3 linked regions of the Zea mays genome follow. The protein of the gene in region 1 binds, or shares a complex with, the protein of each later gene. Links are inferred from orthologs where the notes say so. Each region holds a gene or a part of one and is shown on either strand. Other genes may lie near its edges. The genes, in order: SWR1 complex subunit 2, Actin-related protein 6 and Actin-related protein 4.

Evidence for each region.
Region 2: SWR1 complex subunit 2 (region 1) and Actin-related protein 6 share a complex: the UniProt entries of both Arabidopsis thaliana proteins name them as parts of the SWR1 chromatin-remodeling complex. The link is inferred for Zea mays from reciprocal best matches to the Arabidopsis thaliana genes SWC2 and ARP6.
Region 3: SWR1 complex subunit 2 (region 1) and Actin-related protein 4 share a complex: the UniProt entries of both Arabidopsis thaliana proteins name them as parts of the SWR1 chromatin-remodeling complex. The link is inferred for Zea mays from reciprocal best matches to the Arabidopsis thaliana genes SWC2 and ARP4.

The regions. Positions count from the first base shown.
Region 1 is NC_050101.1:6,995,777-7,000,400, reverse strand, and holds the start of SWR1 complex subunit 2, read right to left. Parts: upstream 2,823-4,624; 5' UTR 2,754-2,822; coding exon 2,686-2,753; intron 2,603-2,685; coding exon 2,533-2,602; intron 2,321-2,532; coding exon 2,249-2,320; intron 2,085-2,248; coding exon 2,041-2,084; intron 1,944-2,040; coding exon 1,685-1,943; intron 1,510-1,684; coding exon 1,434-1,509; intron 1,334-1,433; coding exon 1,214-1,333; intron 1,110-1,213; coding exon 1,041-1,109; intron 898-1,040; coding exon 855-897; intron 382-854; coding exon 316-381; intron 163-315; coding exon 1-162. UniProt on the Arabidopsis thaliana protein: Component of the SWR1 complex which mediates the ATP-dependent exchange of histone H2A for the H2A variant H2A.F/Z leading to transcriptional regulation of selected genes (e.g. FLC) by chromatin remodeling.
Region 2 is NC_050105.1:40,330,464-40,334,864, forward strand, and holds the start of Actin-related protein 6, read right to left. Parts: upstream 3,049-4,401; 5' UTR 2,632-3,048; coding exon 1,925-2,631; intron 1,209-1,924; coding exon 1,016-1,208; intron 942-1,015; coding exon 878-941; intron 336-877; coding exon 251-335; intron 164-250; coding exon 113-163; intron 1-112. UniProt on the Arabidopsis thaliana protein: Component of the SWR1 complex which mediates the ATP-dependent exchange of histone H2A for the H2A variant H2A.F/Z leading to transcriptional regulation of selected genes (e.g. FLC) by chromatin remodeling. Binds to the promoter region of FLC chromatin.
Region 3 is NC_050096.1:2,967,619-2,971,548, reverse strand, and holds the end of Actin-related protein 4, read left to right. Parts: intron 1-2,729; coding exon 2,730-2,794; intron 2,795-2,876; coding exon 2,877-2,945; intron 2,946-3,029; coding exon 3,030-3,075; 3' UTR 3,076-3,407; downstream 3,408-3,930. Other genes in the region: peptidoglycan-binding LysM domain-containing protein, read right to left, coding at 3,799-3,930. UniProt on the Arabidopsis thaliana protein: Involved in several developmental processes including organization of plant organs, flowering time, anther development, flower senescence and fertility, probably by regulating the chromatin structure.

The sequences.
Region 1 (4,624 bases):
CGCCAGGTACGCCCGCCATGCCTAGAGCCTCCTAACATGTTCGGAGACCTTATCTCAACCCTTCTCTTCTTAGGCATCAAGTGTCCACCAGTTATTGATTCGAAAAGCTCTCCCATATTCGACATGTTCGGACGCTTTCTATCAGCCTCCTCTTTCAGGAAACTGAATGCATGGATCAGTTGAAGAGATGTTAGCAAGTTTTGATTGCGCATCCAGATAGAAAGCAGTATTTTTCTTAAGAAACATTGCAGGCAAGTGGTTTACGACTTAGCTGTCAGAGCAAAGTAGGAATCTATGAGAACAAACAAAATGTACCTCTCCCGGATTATTTTAAATGCTTCCATAGTTGCATAAGGCAGCCCTGTCTTCGGATCACGGTATCTACAGGAAGCAAGCCTCACATAAGCATAAACGTCCCTCAAGAGTCTAGTGTAAACTGCTTATTTATTATACTAATTAAATTGGTTATGTAGGCATATGTAGTCCTGCCTCAGGTTTATTTCTGCCATAGCATTTCAGATTTCTAAACAAAGAGCAACCGTCAGGTAGGCACACTTGAACTTGTTTCCATGGTTCGTGGTAAAATATCTAAGAATTAAAGCCACAAGATGTCTCGGGGTTTCCAGACCATACACACACTGGTAGTGGTACGATCTGAGTGATCCAGAACATATAAAAACCACAGTCAAAGATAATGCAGCTACTAAACATTGAAGGATTCGTGTCTATCTAATCTATTACTTGTATTAAAATGAAACATATATGAACAACAAAACAGGGGGGAGGGGTTGAAACTCGTGTGTGAATGCAAGGAACAGGAAGGGATATCATAAACAGGGGTCAGAAAACCATACTTGGCTGGAAGTCCTGTCACCACACAAACAGGTTTCTCCGGATCTGTAATAAACAGAAATATTTTCCAAAAGAACTAGACTTAGCAAAGCAAACTGAATCAGAACTTCTCAGCACACACACATTTTAAAGGAACTGCTAGCAACAAAGAACAGATAATAGAGTACGAACAAAACTGTGGCACTTACAAGGAGATGATGTTGTACAAAGTTCAGACCCAAATGATGCTCCATTTATGAATTCCAGACGTGATTCCCCTAATTGAGCACAATACTGATGATCAAGTAAGGAACTCCTGATTTTCTAAATTCAGAATTCATATGCAAACAAGTGAGTGATGATAATCCAATAAAGAAATTACCATCTCTTGAGAAAAAACGAATTGTAGGACCCTCATAAGTGTCCTTATGAACAACAGCTTTTTTCTTCACTTCCTCCTCTCTTGCCAGGACACGTTCTAGATTTCTCATGTTCATGATCTCTAGAAACATAGACAACAAACGAATAAAATGTAAAAGGCATGCTGGCAAACTCCATCTGTGTATTTCTGGATAACGGTACAAGTGAAACATTGTCTAAACCTGTTTCAGCTGCTTCCAAAAGCATCTCCTCTTGTGTCATCCGCTTTTCTTCTCCCTCCTTTTTTCTCTTAATCGGCTGGCAAGGTACAGCAGAGAGTAACAAGTAAGCCAACACAAATTCCAAAAAATGCCACAGCAGACGAACTAATCCAAGTAGCACAACATTATGTCCTACACAAGTATCTCAAATGCTCAATGGAATTACAACGTCTGATAACAGCGGTGGAGAACTTGCAACATCTGGTACATACCTTGGCCGTTGCTTCTTTTTCAGCACGTATCGCTTCTCTTTCAGCTTGCCTCACGATGACCGACGTTCTGGTTGATTTCCGGATGGCCTTCTCAGCCTCCAGTTCATCAGGAAGATCTGCTTGTGTGGATGAACTCGGCTTATCAGCAGACTTGTCGGCTTTTGTGCCATCTTCTGGTTTTGGGGTCGCCTTCTTCTTCTTGACGTTGGTCTTCCTCAGCGTCTTGCCAGGAAACATTAGCCGTTTCTTGATAGGTAATCTATTTGATAGTTGAGACGGGCATGGGAGGGGAATTAGTAACAAACGTTCACATGATGAAATCTACCAGCATGGTTAACAGCAAGGAATATGTTTACCTCTCGCGTACTTCCTTCTCCGGCTCATCATCAGTTTCAGATTCCTGTGTAGGTACAGAGATGTTGGCATAAGGCACTCGAATACTCGGTGAGATGCTAAACTAGAAAGGATGGGAAAGGATGTGTACACTAATGGCAGCTCTAGGAACACAACACGGATATAATGGACAAACAGGAGATGCGGAGGGGGAGAATGGAAGGAACTCACATCTTCACCAAAATCACTGTCGAATTCGTCACCAGCATCCGGCTCTTCCACGTAGTTGTCATCGTTCTCCTCCTGCGAGGAGATGACAACGCGTCAGGGACGACAAGTGCAGCACGCTACAAGGGTTTGTGTGTACATGGTAGGAGGAACTCGCGAAACTGCAAGTCAGAAATGAGAAGAACCCTAAAGCTAATCAATCCCCCAGTAGCTGCGGGAGCGGCACTAATCCGTTTCTGCCAAGAGGAGGGAAAGAAAAGAACGAGTGGGGACCGACTGCAACCTACATCCTTGAGGGCTTCTTGGTTCCAGAAAGCCTCGTCCTGCTCGACCTCGTCCTCGAGCAGCTTGGTTATCCTGAAAAAGAGGAATGATTTCGATCTCAAACAGGAGCAAGCCACCGGGAGAGAACAAGAATCGGCGCCGGGAGGAAGCCTGACCTCTTGCCTCGGGAGGCGCGGGCGGCGCGGTCGAGGAGAACGGGGGGTTCGTCGTCGCCAGCGTCCATGGCGCCTGGTGGGGACAAGCGAGGAGAGGAGAGGCCGCCGGGGCCCGGCAGGGAAAGAAGAAATGAATGAGCTAGCAGCGACGGTGGGCCGGCCCATCCGGCCCGGTTATTAACTTTGGTCAGTCGCGTGGGCAGGTTCAGTTCTACAAAATATTCAAATTTTATTTATAAAAAAATACATAGGTGTAGTGCTTGTTTAGATCTTGTCGGTACCCTACCCCTACTACTGTATGAAGACACAGCACCCACGCAGCTATCTTTGGTCGCGTGGTAAAGGAGCTGTGTGTGGGGCCAGGCCGTGACTCACCCCAGCTTCGAGTAACTACTCTGGGCCAGCAACAGCACCCGACCCCACCACGTGGACGGCTCCGGGGCCGCCACGTGGTCAGAGAAGATGATGTATCCCAAGGTGTCAACAGTAAGTCTGGACCCCATGGGAAAGTATCGAACCCCTGTATATGCAGACCGAGCCTCCGGGTAAGGTCTAGGACCTCCACGGGTGCAAACCGGACCCCTAGGCTGGGATCCGGACCCCTCTGTGTGGGGTCCGGGCCGCTCACAGCAGGGTCCCGGGGTTCTGGGACAGAAAATACTCAGGCCTTAATCAAGGCCAGGCGGGGGTCCGGAGCCGACACGTGTCCAGACCTTATCGTATACGCTTCTGCTCCCCGCCCAGGCGGGGACCCGATGCTGCCGCGTGGCCTACTGCACGTGACGTAAGCCGACGAGCGGAGCCTGACGTAAGGCTTCTGGGTTACGCGGCCTCTGCATTTAATGAGGATAAGGCGCGCCGCCTGTCCATTCCACTGGCAGGCGGTGTACCGCCTCTGCATTAATTGAGACCTGTCTATTCCGCTGACAGGCAGAGGCATGTCCATTCCTCTGGCAGGCGATGTGCCGCCTCAGCATTTATTGAGACATGTACATTCCTCTGGCAGGCGATGTGCCGCCTCAGCATTTATTGAGACCTATCCATTCCCCTGGCAGGCAGCGGCATGTCCATTCCACAGACTTGCATAGTGTATTCCTTCCATTTTGCTCCTGGGCCCACATGTCGGGGCTCAGTATCCTTGTATGTGTCTCCCTTGAGCTATAAATGGGAAGTCACACAACGTTACAAGGCAGGTTCACTCAGACTCTCAGACCGACTCACAAGTTCACTCGAGTTCACACAAGCTCTCAAGCTCACAGACTCAATACAACACACAGACAGTAGAGTAGGGTATTACGCTACGGCGGCCCAAACCACTCTAAACTCTCGTGCCTCGTGTGTTCTTCCACCTTCCAATAGACAGGCAAAACGCTTAGGCCCCTCCTCAACTTAGGATTTAGGGCGGGTGCGTTCCGCCACCCGACCGGAGAATTTCCTCTCCGACATTTGGCGCGCCAGGTAGGGGGTTAGGCTTTAGGTTTTTCGCTTGTGTTCTTGCTCGACACCATGGTTCAGATCATCGAGCACCACGACTTCATTCCCGAGGACTTCCCGATGGAGGAAGAGGCTACGTCTTCCATGCCACGGGCCTCCAACCGCCCTGCGCCTGGTGCTGCTGTTGTGCGCTCTGCACGGCAAGACACTCCTGTGCAGACATCTAGAGCGTCAAGGGCTGCGCCTGGGGGCTTGTCTGCTGCCAGGGAGTTGTTGTGCCACCCTCCTAGCTCCACGGCCTCACCGGGGGCCATGAAGCAGTGGTGTGACGACGTCGACCGTCTGCTCGGCATGGCGCATTCTGGCTCAGCCAGGCCCAGGCCTCGGTCATCATGGCGTCAACATGAGGCATCGGCGTCAGTGCGCTCACCCTCGGTGAGGGCCGCACCGACTGAGGACCTGCGGGCGGAGCTCAACCACAGGCGTGCGAGAGAGGACGCTCCAG
Region 2 (4,401 bases), on another chromosome or scaffold:
TGCAGTTTATGCAATCTCAGTGACTACCTCAAAAGAAACCAAATAACAAGTGTATCCAACTCATGACAAAATAAAGGCATATACTGTCTATAATGCTAAAGAAACAACTTACAATCTTTCGGTGAATCTGGGGAACAGTGTGCTTCCACCTGTCAAGATGATGCTGGAAACATCCCAACAATGTGAACTCACATGCATACCATGTTCAAAGATCAATGCAGGTGCAGATGTATGTAAATGGAAATGATACCTCTCAAAAAGCACAGGTTGAAGATATGGATGGCAAGCTTGTACAGCACGAACTATACACTCAGCAAGCCCAGCTTGATTTATGCCTACAAATATGCACAGCAGAGATTAGTATGGCAACAAATGAGAAGCTTAGATAATGTGCTAACATAGCAGAGTACAATTGTTATGAAACTAACATTACTACTGTGCGGAAGAAAGATGGACAAAACAATGAAACTCTTCTGTTCTATTGTTTACCAATGTTAAAGGAAAAACAGAATAGTTGATGTAAATTCACCAAGATGTGATTAATATGCATATGAAGTTATGAAGGTCAACTGAATTGCTACTTTTGAGTCACTGGCAAGGGATATTATCCGAGTAGTAAACTAGTAATTGAGATTAGGTATGTCAATGGTTTTGCATTCCAATGTTAAGGGCAAATCCTCCCCATCAGGAAAATGAATTGGTGGTTGGTCATGTGCAGATGGGAAGAAATAATTATTGTGCTTTGCAATGGTTTTAGGAAATACACTGAAAAGTAGCATGAGACCGATATGCTGTTCAATAACTTGAGAGCACATATGAGAGAATATATTCAAAATCTTATGAGCAAAAGTACACAGGACATAACATTGTCACTAACCAAGATCAATGGGATGAAAAAGCATCTCTGGGACAAGGAACCTCTCGTTTGTCAAGACAAATTCCTACAGAGTTAAAATCTCATCAATGATATCATAATACCACATGGCAGCCAATACCAAGGAGGCGAGGATGTTACATTTTGACTTAATTCTGCCTTTTTCCGATCCTCGGACTTATTTGTATCCATACCATGGTCTTTGCTATCTGATACTTGAGGCAGGGTGCGATATCTAAGTGCTTCATCCATATCCTTGACAAACCCTTTCTTGTATGTTATACCATCAGGGAGAATATAAGAACATCTAAAAGGGTTATCCTTAAATGATAACCTGCCCAGAAATTGCACAGCAAGCTGCTAAGAGATTTGAGTAGCATAAAATCCCATAGTTTAGTCAACTCATTAGTAGGTCCCCATTTCAAAGGAATGTGATTTTACATCATTTAACTCATTCTTTCTTCCCTAATACAGCACAATATATTTTAAGAAAATGCCTCTAAACAACTTTCAAGCAAAGGAAACATGTACTTAATAACATTCTCTTAGCATCCGTCGACATTAATGGCATCTGGATTCTGGAGTTAGCATTGTAAATTCAGGGTGCTTTACGAAGACACTATAAACAACAATATGAGAAAACAAAAGTCCCAAGTATAGGATAGTCCCAAAAACACATTCCAGTGTCCTTAGGTTAGTTATCTATTTGTTTGTTTGACAAAGATAAGTTTTGTGTTCTTAAAATTCAAATGCTAAGGTCTTTCAAGCCTTCTAATGCCTATAGTGAAGTTTCAGCTCAAAATGCTAGTTCACCAGCTCCCACAAAAACATGTGTGCATGCACAACACCTCTAGTTCTGGAAGCTACAAAATCCAGTTTGTCAAAAAAGGTTATCAATGTGTGCACTTAAATTGGTTAAACAGACAAAGTTCAAACACTAGATGTTCCTAGATGGCCCAACCTTTAAATTTATTCAGAACTTACATGAAACATTAACCCTAAACAAACAAAAGAAGGGTTGGCACATGAAAGGTTATGAAGACAGCTGACCTGGCAAGGTGTAGATCACCAGGGACATCAAGCGAGACAAAACATAGCTTTTCCTTTGCATCATCAATGAGGAGAGTTTCATCCATAACATTAAGGGAACGGTATGAGACGAGCTCCTTGAGATAGTTTGTAAGGGCCTTGCCGCCAAGGTCCATACGCCGAACACCATAATTAAGAGTAAAGTTCTGAAGTACAGGGGATGCATGGGTGAAAGAGAAGCCACAGTCAACAACAAGGCTGCATTGGGCACGAAACATCATTGGTTGTCGGCTAGCCTCATAAAGGTGGACAAGGGAAGGACCATCTGCAACATAAAGCGAGTTGAAGCCAAACTCCTCGAACACTAGCTCATCAGTTGCATGCTGTATCGCTGGAGGGTTAAACATGGGTTCCACCAGTAACAAGGACGAGTTAGTAGGATCAACCTGGAGAAGATTGCGCAAAACCCGTTCCCACACATCCCTCTGCACCTCGGTATTGATAAGATAGCCACGGTCAATAGGACGCTTCAAAGTCATGCCAGTCACATCGACATCTTCTGCCTGCAGCTGGTCAGCCACAAGCCATTTCTTCGAGCTGGCATTGCCACCAGGGGGTTTGGCCATACAGTTGGGGACAACAGCAATTGGATCATTGTCCCCCCCAAAGCCAGCCTTGAGAAGACCACCCCCATTGTCTATCACCACCACACCCGATCCACCCGTCATTGAATATCCCTATCTTAGTTCAACCTCTTCTGAGTGCCAGGAGTACCCGACAGCAATCGATTAAGCGACGATTGATCGCCGTTTAAGCGTTTAATGCCCCCCCAGGCCACACAGTTGCGCGCGTCGTTCCCCTGTCCCAGCCGATCGTGCGGAGAACTCACCTCTCTCGTCCGTACCTGTCTCTGCCGCTACAGGATCCGCCTGTCCGCCACACTCCAAGCCCTGCGCGTCCGCCACTCCTTGGCTGGAAGTGATCGACCAGTGGCTGGCGGCGTTGGTTTGCCCAGCAGACGAAAGAGAACAAAGGAAAGGGGAACGGGAGATGGCGGCGGTATAGGGCGCTTGGAACGGGGGTTCATGCCTTCAGGGAGTAGGACGGGAGGTGGATGGGATGCCCGGCGGCGGCACTTGGCGCAGGGGACTTGCGGCGAGCATGGCGTGGCGGCCGCGTCAGGGTTTCGAGGAAGACGGAAGACCAGCCAGGGCTGCCGCACGATGTGGGCCAGCAAAACAGATGGGCCTTCACCGCCGACAGGAATGAAGAAGAAGAACTAGGGCACTTTCGTGGGCCAGCAGGCGCTTGTGGCCTCCGCGGCTCCGCCGGATGAAGAACAGGAACGCCAGGTGGGCTTAAAGACCTAGGCCTATTTGGATTCGTAGTCAGGTACTGAAGTAGTCAGGTGGGTTTGCTTAGACTCTCGACAGCGGGCGCCTCTTCGTTCAGAAAGTATACGTAATCTCTAGCCTTCAGAGCATGCTCTACTTCACCCTCTCACTTTTAAAACCAGATGTTTAACCATCTAAGAGCTAGTTTGAGAACCCCATTTACCCAAGAGATTTTATTTTCCCAAGAGAAATCAGTTCATTTTCACTTGATAAAATGAAAATCACTTGAGAAAATGGTTTTCCCAAACTAGCCCTAAACTTTATAAAAGCGGACAAATAACCTCCAAATAATTTTAGTTAACTGTTATGATGACATGACACTTGTTTAAATGGAACTATTTTGTCTTTTTTTAATTCTGTTTTTTCTACTACCATCAAAATTTTATACAATTTTACACAAATCGATAATTAGATATTATGTTAGCTGTAATTTTCTATAACATTTCTAGAAGCCATTTAATTACTAAAAATAAAAAAACTACACAAAAATAACTTAAGAGTTTTGTCTCTGATTCATTTATTATCTTATTAAGCTAAAACTTTTACTAGAGTTAAACAATACTATTCATAAACTACAAAATTTTGTGTTGCTTTTATTAAGAAAGATAGGTGTCCTTTCGTCTAATTAATAATTAAATTAATTTTACATTTGTTTTTTAGAAACACCTAGTAACAATAAAAAATGATCTCCATTTTTTACATAGATTATCTCTTAGCTAAACTAATATATACAAATATTTTCAGATTTTTTAAGAACATTAAATCTAAACCTATATAAAATTCTGAGAAATATTTACATATTTATGGGTCTAGATTTAAAATTCTCAGAAAAATCTGGAAATATTTGTGTATGTTAGTGTAGATAGGAGAAGGTTTGTGTAAAAAATGGAGATTATTTTATTAGTGTTTGGTAAGTTTTATAAAAAACAAATGCAGAACTGATTTAGATAATAATTAGAAGAAAGACCACTTAACTTTCTTAATAAAATCAACAAAAAAAATTCTTAGTTTAGTAATAGTGTTGTTTAGCTCTAGTAAAAATTTTGGTCTTATCAAAGAAGAAATGAATCAGAGACAAAAAAATATTAAGTTCTCTTTATGTAG
Region 3 (3,930 bases), on another chromosome or scaffold:
GGCGGTGGACGACGGCACGACTCCGACGTACGACTTCACCATCGAGTACGTCCACTTTGAGGGAGCTGGGGGAGTAGGCAACTCTTCTCCGAGCAGGTCTACCCCAGCCCCCAAGTCTCCACCGACTCCAGCGCCACACTCTCCAGCTCCTGCTACAACGAGCTCTTCACCACCACGCACTCCAGCCACGACTCCGGCTACAGCGAGCTCTTCGCCACCACGTACTCCAGCACCGGCGGTACCCTCTCCGGGAACGTCCTCTCCGACACCAGCTCGTGTCGAGCACGACCCAGTGGAGCTCGTGACCCCTCTGTCCCGCGACGAGGAGCGCGTCGACGCGTGCTACGACGGCGAGCCGTTGCGGTATCGAAGGGTGGAGGGCCTTCTCATCGACCCATCGGTGCCAGGCCCTGCATCTCGCATTCTGGCAGGAGAGTTGCATCTTGCATGCGACGATGGTGAGCCTCGGTCTTTCGCGGAGGCCGAGAAACATGCGGCTTGGCGTGCCGCGATGCAGTCGGAGATGGACGCGGTTGAGACGAACCGCACTTGGGAGCTCGCTGATCTCCCTCATGGTCATCGCGCGATCACCCTTAAGTGGGTGTTCAAACTGAAGAGGGATGAAGCCGGCGCCATCGTCAAGCATAAGGCTCGCTTGGTGGCACGCGGTTTCTTGCAGCAGGAGGGGATCGACTTCGACGATGCCTTCGCCCCTGTAGCACGGATGGAATCCGTGCGACTCCTCGCGTTGGCAGCCCTGAAGGGCTGGCATGTTCATCACATGGATGTCAAGTCGGCGTTTCTTAACGGCGACTTAAAGGAGGAGGTCTACGTACACCAGCCGCCAGGTTTTGCGATCCCTGGCAAGGAGGGCAAGGTGTTGCGTCTGCGCAAGGCTCTCTACGGCTTGCGACAGGCACCAAGGGCGTGGAATGCCAAGCTGGATTCCACGCTCAAGAGGATGGGCTTCATGCCAAGCCCGCACGAGGCGGCCATCTATCGGCGGGGCAATGGAGGAAGTGCCCTGCTGGTGGGTGTCTACGTCGACGACTTGGTGATCACCGGCGCCAAGGATGCAGAGGTGGCAGCGTTCAAGGAAGAGATGAAGGCCACCTTCCAAATGAGTGACCTGGGGCATCTCTCCTTCTATCTGGGGATTGAGGTGCACCAGGGAGACTCCGGGATCACACTTCGCCAGACCGCCTACGCCAAGCGCATTGTTGAGCTGGCTGGGCTCACCGACTGCAACCCAGCCCTCACTCCGATGGAGGAGAGGCTGAAGCTGAGTCGCGACAGCACGACGGAGGAGGTGGATGCTACACAGTACCGGCGTCTTGTGGGGAGCCTTCGCTACCTCGTCCACACACGGCCTGACTTGGCATACTCCGTCGGCTACGTTAGTCGGTTTCTGCAGCGACCGACGACGGAGCATGAGCAGGCTGTGAAGAGGATCATCCGCTATGTTGCGGGGACTCTCGACCACGGTCTCTACTACCCGAGGTGCCCTGGGGAGGCACACCTTGTCGGGTACAGCGATAGCGACCACGCCGGCGACATCGACACCAGCAAGAGCACAAGCGGGATCCTCTTCTTCCTCGGCAAGTGCCCCATCAGCTGGCAGTCAGTCAAGCAGCAGGTGGTGGCCATGTCCAGCTGCGAGGCCGAGTACATAGCGGCGTCCACTGCTTCGACTCAGGCGCTCTGGCTGGCTCGCCTGCTCGGTGATCTCCTCGGGAGAGACACTGGAGCGGTGGAACTCAGGGTGGACAGCCAGTCCGCTCTGGCATTGGCCAAGAACCCCGTGTTCCATGAACGGAGCAAGCACATCCGGCTGAGATATCACTTCATCCGAGACTGCTTGGCAGAAGGGAGCGTCAAGGCGCGTTACATCAACACCAAGGATCAGCTTGCAGACCTGCTCACCAAGCCCCTTGGGAAGATCAAGTTTGTTGAGCTTTGCTCCAGGTCCGGGATGGCCCAACTTTCCCACAAGACGACGCACAAGACTTAGGGGGAGAATGATGGAATAAGTCATGTGGTCAGCAGCAGTTGCAGTTTTGACTGCTGCAGGACAGCAGTAGCAGCAGTCTTTTGACTGCGCAGCAGCAGCAACCTTTTGACTGCTGCAGGACAGCAGCAGTTACAGCAGGACAGCATGCAGCTGCAGTTTTTTGACTGCGCAGGACAGCAGTAGCAGCACAGCAGTTTTGACTGCACTTTAGTATCTAAAGGACAGCACCTGTGTGCTGCAGCGTGTAGTGTAGTGTGTAGTGCAGTGTAGTGCAGCCCCTAGGGCTATAAATATGTGTCCCCAACCCCTCTAAGGGTATGACATTGTGTAGTGTTTGAAGAAATAAACAGAAAATTGCCCCAACTCATAGTGTCATCCTCTGATGAGAGTTAGAGTCCCTCTACTTACATACCACAGATTCTTCCCACAGCCAGATTTTCAGAAAAGCTGGTCAGAAAAAAGCTGAACCAAACAGGCCATAAAAGGTGCTTTAAAATTCTCATTTCAATATAATTTAATAATTCCCACTATGAAACTATTACAAATGAAATGGTGGGAGTATTTTAGATTGTTTTGTACATATTTTCCGTATTTTGCGACCTTAGTTGATATTGATAACTATGAAACAATTCTCTTTGTTCATGTTGGTTAGAAATGGTGAAGTCGCTCTTTACTCATTTTTAATGCTAGCTATTATTACCACATTGAATTATTACAGGAGTCTCCTCAAGCTGCTCGTGTCAAGGTTATGGCAAGCGGAAACTCAGTAGAGAGACGTTTCAGGTCAGACTAGAATATTTATTTATTAGGTTATTGCTGGCACTTACAAATGACATGGCTGAATTGTTGGAGAATTGACATGCAGTGTTTGGATTGGAGGGAGCATTCTAGCATCTCTTGGGTCGTTCCAGCAGATGTGGTTCTCCAAAGCAGAGTAAGCTCGATATTTGATAGGCCCTCTGTTTTTTCTATACTTGCCCTGGACACCTGATGAGGCGTGCCATGTGTCTCGCGCCAGGTATGAAGAGCATGGGGTTTCCTATATTCAGAGAAAGTGCCCTTGAAGCAGGGGAAGGAATATGTACAACCAATATTATGCTTTACGAGCCTTATTGTTGCCAAAGGGTTCCTTGTGTACAACAGCCTGGTGCCTTGCCATGTTGGCCAATGAATACTCGAGACTCTTTTCAAGTGACGTTTGTTGTCTTCATGGCTAGTTAATTTTAGGTGATGTAAGGTGAACGTAAGAACTAGGTCAACTAAAATATTTATCATTGACAGTATGCTGAATCTGTCTCCCCTTCTGTAGAATGAGACGGGACCCCATCTTGTTCTGTACCGGGGCTAATTCTTTGCCAGCACACAAAGAGCCAAGACGATTGTTGTAACTCGGGTTATTTAAATCCCAGCTGCAGAGCAAATACACAACTTTAAACGTGTAGCGAGCAGGCAGAACAACGATGCCGCAATCATTCTGTCCGTAATGTCTGCAACCACGATTGCTAGTGCGGAGGGATGAACAAGCTATTTCTTTATTAGGTCATGGGAATGCTGCCAGGCGTTTGCCTTCATTCCTAGATGTGTACGTACAAAAATGAAAAGAATACACCCCCAGGCTCATCTCCCAGCTCCCAATCTGCTGCTGCTGCTGCTTTGGCACAATAGATTCAGCACAGTATGTATGTGCAAGTAATGTGTCACTGTATCCGTCACGCCATTTCAGCACAGTGTGTCCAACCGTTCGAGGCCTTTTTTTTTGTTGGCTGTAAAGAGACGAAACGAAGCTGCTAATCTCTGGCCGCCTTGTTTCTCCAAGCAACGATCGAGTTGGGGATGTTGTCGAGGAGAGGCTTGGGGATGCTGTCCAGGAGAGGCTTGGAGATGCCGTCGAACAGCGCCAGGGTGAAGGCATAATCCGG